Linked DNA regions of Oryctolagus cuniculus. The protein of the gene in region 1 purifies or fractionates together with the protein of each later gene. This does not show direct contact. Links are inferred from orthologs where the notes say so. Each region holds a gene or a part of one and is shown in the gene's direction. Other genes may lie near its edges.

The links.
Region 2: the proteins of LLGL1 (region 1) and PARD6B purify together in Homo sapiens (affinity purification with mass spectrometry; 5 studies listed by BioGRID and IntAct, counting the BioPlex papers as one, with this or other methods). This does not show direct contact. The link is inferred for Oryctolagus cuniculus from reciprocal best matches to the Homo sapiens genes LLGL1 and PARD6B.

What each region holds. Positions count from the first base shown.
Region 1 is NC_091448.1:62,277,537-62,281,780, reverse strand, and holds the end of LLGL1 (lethal(2) giant larvae protein homolog 1), read left to right. Parts: intron 1-362; coding exon 363-658; intron 659-904; coding exon 905-1,169; intron 1,170-1,269; coding exon 1,270-1,384; intron 1,385-1,473; coding exon 1,474-1,580; intron 1,581-1,732; coding exon 1,733-1,853; intron 1,854-1,926; coding exon 1,927-2,005; 3' UTR 2,006-2,752; downstream 2,753-4,244. Other genes in the region: FLII (protein flightless-1 homolog), read right to left, coding at 2,867-2,995, 3,086-3,151, 3,229-3,334, 3,423-3,529, 3,632-3,760, 3,866-3,926, 4,015-4,169, 4,243-4,244. UniProt on the Homo sapiens protein: Cortical cytoskeleton protein found in a complex involved in maintaining cell polarity and epithelial integrity. Involved in the regulation of mitotic spindle orientation, proliferation, differentiation and tissue organization of neuroepithelial cells.
Region 2 is NC_091442.1:10,161,585-10,167,208, reverse strand, and holds the start of PARD6B (partitioning defective 6 homolog beta), read left to right. Parts: upstream 1-2,356; 5' UTR 2,357-2,673; coding exon 2,674-2,739; intron 2,740-5,624. UniProt on the Homo sapiens protein: Adapter protein involved in asymmetrical cell division and cell polarization processes. Probably involved in formation of epithelial tight junctions.

The sequences.
Region 1 (4,244 bases):
CACCTCAGGGCTGGCTTAGGTCCGGCAGTGGGTCAGGGTGCTGTGTGGTGGGTGCCACACCTTCCTTGGCCCCTCCATCCTGCTCCGCGTCTCCAAGGAGTGTGTGGTGCTCGGCTGCCACAGCCAGAGCAGGGCTGATGGGTGGCCTGGGGTTTTCTGTGGTCAAGAGGCTCTGTCTCCCCACTGTGGGTGGGGGTGCGGCAGGGGCTGGGGTGGCCTGCAAAATGAGGATGGAGGGCGGGGGCTGAGGGTGCTGTGGGATGGGGCTGGAGGGGGCAGGGTGCTGTGTGGGGTTCGCAGATGGCAGCTGCGCCCGGGTGCCGGAAGTGGCGCGCCCTCTCACGGCACCCCCGTCTCCGCAGCGGCCCACCATGGGCCCACCATGTGGGCGGGCACCAACTCGGGCTCCGTGTTTGCCTACGCACTGGAGGTGCCGGCAGCCTCGGCGGGCGGCGAGAAGCGGCCCGAGCGGGCGGTGGAAGCCGTGCTGGGCAAGGAGGTGCAGCTGATGCACCGGGCGCCCGTGGTGGCCATCGCCGTGCTGGACGGGCGCGGCCGCCCGCTGCCCGAGCCCTACGAGGCCTCTCGGGACCTGGCGCAGGCGCCCGACATGCAGGGGGGCCACGCCGTGCTCATCGCCTCCGAGGAACAGTTCAAGGTGAGCGGGTCCTCGGGGCCCTGCCCACGTTCCCCAGGCCCATGGGAATGCCACCAGCCGGCAGACACCACCTTGAGACCCACACCGCGAGGCCGGGGTGACCCCAGATGGGGGAGGCTGGCCAGCGTCTGGGATGCCCTGCACTGGGGGAGGAACGTGTGTCCGTGTGTCCCGGGCATACAGGCGGCAGGGTGAGGGCCTGGGCCCGGCCAGCTCCGTGCTCACGGGCTGCCTGCCCGCTGCCAGGTGTTCACGCTGCCCAAAGTGAGTGCCAAGACCAAGTTCAAGCTGACAGCCCACGAGGGCTGCCGCGTGCGCAAGGTGGCCCTGGCCACGTTTGCGAGCGTGGCCTGCGAGGACTATGCCGAGACGTGCCTGGCCTGCCTCACCAACCTGGGGGACGTGCACGTGTTCTCGGTGCCCGGCCTGCGGCCCCAGGTGCACTACGCGTGCATCCGCAAAGAGGACATCAGCGGTATCGCCTCCTGTGTGTTCACTCGGCACGGCCAGGGTGAGTGAGGCCTGCGGGAACGGGGCCGGGGGCTGGCCCAGGGCTGCGGCCGCCGCCTGTCTCCTGACACCCCCTTGCTTCTGCTCTCCCGCCCGCCCAGGCTTCTACCTGATCTCCCCGTCCGAGTTTGAACGCTTCTCCCTGAGTGCCCGCAACATCACCGAGCCACTGTGCTCGCTGGACATCAGCTGGCCCCGAGATGCCCGGCGGGCCAGGTGTGTGGGGTGTCGGGAGGGCCGGGGCTCCCCTGCCACCTCGGGGCACCTGCTGGCAGCACCCACTGTGGCCCTGTCCACGCCCACAGGCTGCAGGAGTCACCCAAGCTGAGCCAGGCCAACGGGACCCCAGGCATCATCCTGGCCCCCCAGAGCTGCGAGGGAAGCCCGGATCCTGCCCACAGCCAGGGAGCTGGTGAGGGACTGTGGGCCGGGGGCGGCCCTGGCCGGGGAGCCGGGACCAGCAGCTGAGCCCCTGAGGCTGGCGGGGCGGGGGTGTCTGCACCTGGCCCCCAGGGGCATGGGGCGCTGAGGGCCCTGGGTGGGTGATCACTGGGCTCCCTGCAGAGACCCCCGAGCCGCCCGAGGCCACGCTGTCGCCCATGTCTCTGGACTCGGCCACCAGCGCGGACACAACACTGGACACCACAGGGGACGTCACGGTGGATGATGTGAAGGAGTTCCTGGGGTGAGGCCGCCGCCCCTCCCTGCCCCCCGCCCCCCACCCCCTTCCTCCCCTCTGACCACCACTGCACCCCCAGCTCTCCCGAGGAGGCAGAGAAGAACCTGAGGAACCTGTCGGGGGACGAGGCCCACGCCTGCGCCATCCTGATCAAGTGAGGGGCTGCAGGGCCCTGCCCAGCGCCCCCCATCTCCCTGGGGGCCCGCACCTGGCCGCCTCCCTGGGGGCCTCGCAGTGATTTTCATAGCAGAGGGTCAGGAAGGCAGAGCCGGCCGCTCGCCCTTGGACTCACAGGTGTGTGGGGTGGGGCCAGGTCAGACGTGTGTCAGCGGCTGCAGCTGACGAGCTAGGGTCCCGCCAGCAGAGCCAGCCTGGAGCCTGGCTTGGCCCTGCCCCGTGGGGGTCTGCGCCGGGCACGGACGGCAGCTGACACCTCCTTGCTGGCGCTCGTCACTGCCGCTGTCCTGCGTGGGCCAGCACACGGGGCTGCCCGCCTCCTGCCGGCCCCTCCCCTAACACAGACCCGCACCTGCTAACCTGGGGGCTGGAGTGGGCCCCGAGCGAGGCAGCCTGGGGTGTGGGTGGCACCGGGGTGCACTGGGCCACCTCCCCGCCCCCCTCCCTCCGCAGAGTATTTTTCTAACGCCTGTGCTGGCCTCCATGGTCATTTCTGAAACTATTTTGGTACTTGCTCCTGGGCCAGCCCTACGCGTGCGTGCGTGCGTGAGAACCTGGGACCACTGAGGCCTGGTCAGATGTGTGCGTGTATGTGTGTGTGAGGGGAGTCGGGCGGGCCCTGTAGATTGTACCTTGGGGGGATCTTTTTCTGTCATTTTGTTAAAATTAGTGGTTTTAGTATTAAAAATACTGATTTTTTAATATTGAAAATAAAAGCATTTACTGTCTCTTAGAGAACAACCGCCTGTGCTTTATCCCCGGGGGGTGGAGTCTGCTCTCCCAGGGCACCGGCGGGGCTGTGTGCTGGGGGACGCAGACGCGGGGGCGGGGCCGGCGCGGGCCTAGGCCGGGGCCTGGCGGAAGGCGCTCCAGGCGTGGAAGCAGCGGGTGAAGGCGTGCTGCTCGTTGCCTTTGCGGACCAGGCGCAGGCGCCGGGGCTGCTCCTTGGAGCGCAGGTGCTGGATGTACACCTGGGGGCCGAGGGCGGGGGGAGAGGAGGTGGGCGCAGGGCTGCATGCGGCCGCCCGCCCCGGGCCCCCAGCACCCGGCCCCCGGCTCACCTGGCAGGCCTTCAGGCTCAGTTTGATCTCCACCTGGCTGGTCTGGGTGCCCACCCACATGTAGACCTAGGGGGACAGCAGGCGCTGCAGTGCCGCACTCACGGCCGGCCCTGGGAGATGGGGCGGGCGGGGCGGGGCCTCACCTCCTGGCCGTTGTCCAGCAACATGATGTCGTCGTCGGCCAGGTCGTCCTGGCAGAAGTCGGAGCACTTCTCAGTCACGGCGAAGTAGCCCTTGTCGTTGGAGCACCTGAGGGGCGGGGCAGGGCGGGGCCGCTAGGAGTGAGCAGGGGCAGGGGCCGCCTGGGGGCGGGGCGGGGCGCAGCCCTGGTGCTCACCGGAAGAGCCGCGTGTGCTTCATGTACTCGGCGTCCTCGTCGTAGGGCTTCTGAGCCCCGATGCCCACCCAGAAGAAGTTCTCGGGCTCCTCCCCCTCGTTGATGACCTGCGGGGAGGGTGTCAGCCCCACCCGGGCCCCAGCTCCCCCCCTGCCCGCCCCGTCTCCATGCACCTGCCCCTCCACCTGTCCCTGCCCCGCCCCGCGCACCTGCTTGCTGTAGGCGGCGTCGAACATGGTGTTGAGGATGTCTTCCGCCAGCTTGGCCTCGTCCGGGTCCGACGCCCGGCCCACCCAGGCGTACACAATCCCTTGGTTGTCCTCGCTCTCAAAGGGGACCTGGAGAGCGGAGCCGAGGCGGCCGGGCGGCTCAGGCCTGGCCCCGGCCTCGCCCCCACCCCCTCTCCCCTACCCCCCGCCGGCCTGGCTCGCCCACGCCCCCACCTTGAGGATGAAGCAGAACTCGGAGTTGAGCAGGCTGGAGTCCGTGTGGATTTGGATGCACCTGCGAGGGGAGGGGCGTGGGGCGCGTCAGCGAGGGGGCGGGTGGTCGGGGGCTCCCCCGGCCCTCCCCGCCCGCCCCCGCCAGGCACCTCGTGCAGAGGGCGCTGCCGTTGGTGCGGATCTGGTACAGGCTCGGCTGCGGGGCGCCCTGCGCCGCCTTCCGTTTGCCGCGGTGGATGATGAACTTCCTCTTGAAGTGGGCCAGGAACTTGGGGTTCTCCTGCTGCTGCGTCATGCGCACCACCTGCGGGGGGCAGGGTCAGGGTGTTGCCCCACGGCCCTCCCGGCCCCCCACCCCCCAGCGGCGGGCGGCCCACCT
Region 2 (5,624 bases), on another chromosome or scaffold:
AGAGAGAGAGAGAGCGAGAGAGAGCAAGGCATCGCCATGCAGGATGTCAGCTGAGAAAGCTGGCGGTGGAAGATGACAAACTTTCTCCACCTGGCGAGCTAGATGTCGCGGGTGGGGGGGGGGTGCGGAACTTAGAGAACTCTGGGAAAGAGTAAGGCAGAGCCCAGCCCCGATTCCTTCAGACCTCGGGCGGGTAAGAAGCTTGACCGGGGCGTGAGCATCTCCGGAGCCTGGTCCTGCGCAAGGATGGTGTGGACCTGTCCACCACCTGCCTTACTGGAGCCCCGGTCACCCTCCCAGGCGTGGAGCTGGCTTTCCTTTGCACACGGGGAGGTCTGGATCAGCTTTAACGGGAGGATTTGGGGGCGGGGAGAAAGAAGATTAGGGCCAGTCTTCAAACAGCAGAGCAGGGACAGAAATCCCTCTCTGAGCCACGCCTCTGGGCTTCGTGCTTCTCAGCGGAGGCTGAAACACAGGCCTGGTGAGCCTCAGGCCCCACGGCTGTGAGAAGCCGCCGCCGGCCCCTCTATCACTTTGGAACCTCTTCCCTCATTCCTCCCTTGCACAACCCAGGCGCCCGGGGATGGGTGATGCAGGCCTCCAGAGCCAGCTCCTCTCGGGATCCAGAAAGGAAAGTCCAAGAGAAGAGGGAGGCCACGCCCGGGGGAGGGGGATGTGACGCCACCTCCAGGAATGCGGGCCCACGCAGGTGCGTTGGCACCCGGGAACTTCCTTCTCAAAAGCCCTGATAAATCAGCACTGCTAGCAATAAAGCTCCGTCACCCCGCGGTGGCTCAGCGCTGCGGCCCTGCTCCCAGGGCAGGGAGGGCGAGAGCTGAGAACGCAGAATCCCAGGCGACCGAGCCTGGTCCAGCGGCCATCACAGTGCACGCCTGGGCGCCCCAGGCCGTCCTGGGGGGTTGCCACGCCACATGCTCACGACGCCCAGGTGTTGCGCCTTGCTTCCCAGCCCACCGTGGGGTTTTCCAGAAGGAACACGGCACGTGATGACATCACGGATGGCAGCTGGAGCGCGTGCTGCAGACGCGTCTCTCTCAATGCCGTGAGCACGGACAGACCTGACACACACGAACACGCTTTGGGCCCCTCTGCAGTAGTCTAGGGGGCTCTTGAGACCAAACAAGCCGAGAGCAGAGCCCCCGAACGAAGGCGAAGGGCGAGTTTCGCCTGCAGCTGCCCCTGGCCACGCGGGCGCCGAGCGGCACAGGTGTTTTCCCGCGGGGTGAAGAGGGCGGCCCTGCTCAGCGTGGGGCGGTTTCCACCTGCGCTTCCGCCCGGGCGGACCCACGGCTCCGGGGAGAGGAATTCCTCACCTTTGGACCCGGCTGGCCAGCAGACACCTCCCCGTCAGCTGGGCACCCGCCAGGGCGCGGCTCGGGAGGGGGCGGGGCCCGGGAGGGGGCTGGGGTCTAGGGGCGGAGGTCCCGAGGACGCAGGAGCAGCAGCACCCCAGGCATCTGCTCGCACAGGAGGGGGTCTCCACGGCATGCAGGGAGCCCCTTCGCAGGGCGGCAGGGCCCGGGGCTCCCGTCCGCGCCCCCCCAGGGCCCAGGCTAAGCGGGATCCGGAAACCCTGCGTGGACCCCCCCCCCGGCGCCTCAGGCCCCCTCGCTCCCCCCACCGACCCCTGGGGACCCGACGGACGGGTGGGGGCGGGCTGCAGCCGCCTCCCGCAGAGCCCAGCCCACGGAGCCGAGGCGCTCCCTCAGATAAGCGCGCAGAGGCGAAAAACCTGAATTTTGCGCACGAGAGTTGCAGCGGGACCCTAAAAACACGAAAGGGTGGGGAAGGGGGCGTTGTGAAGGGCGACACAACCCAAAGTCACAGCAGGGCGGGGGCCGAGCAAGCCACTCGGTGCCTCGGCCACCGATACGGCCGCGCGCCCAGTCCCCCGCACCGAGCGAGTGACCAGCGCGCGCCGAGCTGCGCCAGCCCAAGCGGCACCAAGTCCCGCGGCGCGCGCCCGCGCGTGCGCAGAAGGCACACCCGCCGGACTCCCTCCTCAGGTGCGCTTGCGCTTCCGGCCGGCCTTCTCTGGGCGGAAACTCGAGCTCCTGCGCATGCGCTCTCCAGCTCTCTGGCGGGGTCCAGAGAGGCGGCCCCGGGCTTCAGGTAATCCCGCCCCTCCCCCGCCGCGCGGGACCAATCGTGCGGCGGCGGGCGGGACTTTGTCGAGGGAGGCCCGCCCATGCGCCCCGCGAGTCGTGTTTCGATTGGTTGGCGCCGCGGGCGCAGGTGCGCGCTTCCTATTGGGTGTGGGCGGAGCGCGAGCGGCCGAGGCTGCTCCGGAGGCTGCAGGTGAGCGCGCGCACGCGCCGCGGCTCTGGCCCGGCTCGGGCGCGCGCGCGCGGGCCCGCGGGGGAGGTGGCCGAGAGCGAGGCTGCGGCGCTGGGAGCCTGCGCTCCGCCCTCTCCTCCTCCGCCGCCGCCGCCGCCGCGGGCCCGCAGGCAGGGAGCAGCGTCCGCGCCCGCCGCGCCGCCAGTGCGCCCCTCCGTCCCGCCGCGTGAGCAGCCCGCCCCTCTGCAGGTGCCTGCGCGGAGCGCCCGGGCCGCGGCCGCCCTCCGAACCCGCGCGCCCCGCCGCGCACTCGCTCCCCGCGCGCCCGAGGGGCGGCCGGTGCCGACGAGGCCGCCGCGGGGCCCGGCGCTCGACATGAACCGCAGCCACCGGCACGGGGCGGGCAGCGGCTGCCTGGGCACCATGGAGGTGAAGAGCAAGGTGCGCGGGGCCGGCCTGGGCGGAGCGGCGGTCGGGAGGCCGGGCGCCGGGGGAGGCCGCGGGCCGAGCCTCGGGGGCCCGCGAGGGCGGGGTGGGGGCGCCGGCTTCTGGTTTCCGAGGTGGGAGCCGTGGGGCGCCCTGTCCGGGGCAGGGCCGGAGGCGCCCGGTCCCCCCGTTCGGGTTCGAGGGGGCGAGCGCCCTTTGGGTTGCTTTGCTCCCGGCCGGGCGGATTCCTGGGGAGCCCTGGAGCGCGTTTCGTCTGCGGATCAGCACCGGCACCCGCAGCGCGTGCGCTGGGGTCTCCGCGCCGCCGTCCGCTGCCCGGGTTCCGAGCTGGGCCCTGCTGGCGGCCCGGGAGTCTCGCAGGCCCCGGTCCCGGAGGCGGGCGGCAGGTGAGCAGGTGGGCTCCGCGGGCTGCGCCTGCCGCGGCTCGGCGCTCCTGAGCGAGAATAATCCAGGCCCTGGGCCGTGCCAGCCGCGGCGGCTCGGAGAGACCCGGCGAGGCCGGAGCGCGTTGGAGGAGAACAGCGGATCGGCTTCCACAGTCGCGAAGCCGCGTGGACGGAAGGGGGCCGGGGGCACGGGGCCGGGGGGCGCCCGGCGGTCCCGATGGAAGCGGGCCGGGGGCGCGGGGCCGGGGGGCGCCCGGCGGTCCTGACGGAAGGGGCCGGGGTCGGGGGGCGCCCGGCGGTCCCGATGGAAGGGGGCCGGGGGCGCGGGGCCGGGGGGCGCCCGGCGGTCCTGACGGAAGGGGCCGGGGTCGGGGGGCGCCCGGCGGTCCCGATGGAAGGGGGCCGGGGGCGCGGGGCCGGGGGGCGCCCGGCGGTCCTGACGGAAGGGGCCGGGGCGCGCGGCGGTCCCGTCCCGCGGCTCTGCGCGGCTCTGCAGCCGGGACGCGGCGGGACGATGGTGTTTGGGCCGGGCCGGGGTGGCTGCTGGTCTCGGCCACCGTCCTGTCGGGGGAGTGCGGTTGTGATCGCGGCGCGGCCTCCGTGGGCCCCGGCGGAGCAGGGCAGGGATTCACATCTCGGGTTTGTGGGAGTTGAGGTCAAGAAAAGGCACTTGTGATATTGCATCACTCAAAATTCCGCTTCCAGGCCGACCTTGGTAGCAAGTGGCAGGGAAAAAATGAGTGGAGCTAGTAGGTGCGCTGCTGAAAGAAAGCAAACATTTCCTCCCGGCGCGGGCTGGCATGCCAGGCTCTCGCCGCCTCCTGTCAGCTGACTTGAGAATCTCCCACATACCTGAGGCCCAAACCGGGTGTTAGGTGTTGGCCTGCCGGCGTCCCGAGGCCTGCGCCGGCCACGAGGTGGAATCGGGGCGGCCTGAGACCAGGCGCCGGGAACTGTGGTCCCGCGAGGATGGGCAGAGCAGTGAGGGCCCCGGCCACCCGTGCCCCTGCTTCTCGATGTCTGTTGTTGATGTGTTTACTTCTGAATGGGTTGAATAAGCTGTTTGTCCTCTTAAAAACCTCTGCTGCGGGAGATTTTTGAAGCACATTTTGCTTTGGTGCTGCTTCGGCTTTCTGGGCTCCTGGGGCAGCCGTGGCTGCGGGCTTGGAGCCAGCACTGGAGAGCAGGCGGAGCCGTCTCAGGGTCCTCGGCCCCTGCCTGGACATCAGTAGTGTCGGCCGGATTACCTTGGCCTGGGAAGGGAAGAATGGTTACAGGTAATCAACATAGTGGACAGTGTCAACAAGCTGGTTGAATTCGTGATACCAGAAACCACGTGGCTTTTCTTTGGTAACTGATTTATCTCCCTAATTGTTTCTCTAGAGTTGGGGAAGTTCTCAGTACTGATGGAGGTGCCCTTTAGTAACCTTGGGACAGTCTTGGAGCCGGAACAGTTCCTAATTACTCACAGGCGAATAGGACATTAAAATTAAGTTGTCATTTCTAAAATGTGCCAGCAGATAGTGGGGGGCGGGAGTCTGACACATTGTGAATGGCTGGGAGGAACCAGGCCGGTTAAACAAAGCTGTGAATGGGTCCTGGAGTGGGGAATGGTTGCTTGAGTCTTGAGTCTGTCTCTTGGCAGCTCTCTTCGTGTGGTAAAAAGTTCTCTACCCTCTTGTTCTGCTGCAGGAAGCGTGACAGTTTCTCTAGTGTGTTTCCCCTGCCAGCATTTACAGAGGGCATATCTGACTTTGAAGCCATAGGGTTTCCCACTATTTTTATCAAATGAGTTAAGCAAGAGAAAAAGGTTGTTGAGCAAAGAATTCTCATCCACACACTCGAGCCGAAGCAGTGAAGCCCCCGAAACGTTAACCTCTCAGCTGTCGTTCCGGGTGGTGAGTCAGGCTGAGTGATAACCCGGAGACGAATCAGGACGCAGCGGCCGCCTGTGCTGTGATGCCAGCCAGGGAATGGGGGAGAAACTGTGACTTCTGATAACATCATAGACTGGCTGATAGGAAGGGTGTTCCCTGAGTTTTTATTTGCTTTGAAACATGAAGGTGTGACCGAACTTTTTGAGAGCTTTGGATATGAGTCACCTTATTTTCTTGATGAATATTAGTGTTTATATTTCAGGAATGTGTTTTGCAAACTTTTATTTATCAGCAGCAAGAGGTGGTTTGGGTGAGTTCTAATTTTAACGTAAACCTGGTGAGTGGTGTTTAGGGCATAAGCAGAGCTGATGGGCTTTTCTGTAAAGCAGACAGTGCATCCAGATACCCAGTAAGGCCTCTGGGGAGCTGATTCAGCATGTTTATGCACTTCCAAAATGGCTAGGATTGGGGCTTTCTCTGCCTGATGCTACTGAGGTTGAGCTCCTACTATGTATTTCTTGCTAACAATATCAGATGTTTCCAAGGAAAACGAGTCCTGCGGTCAAACACCTGACCGTGGTGTTGACACCTATGTAGACTGTAGAGTGACAGGTGT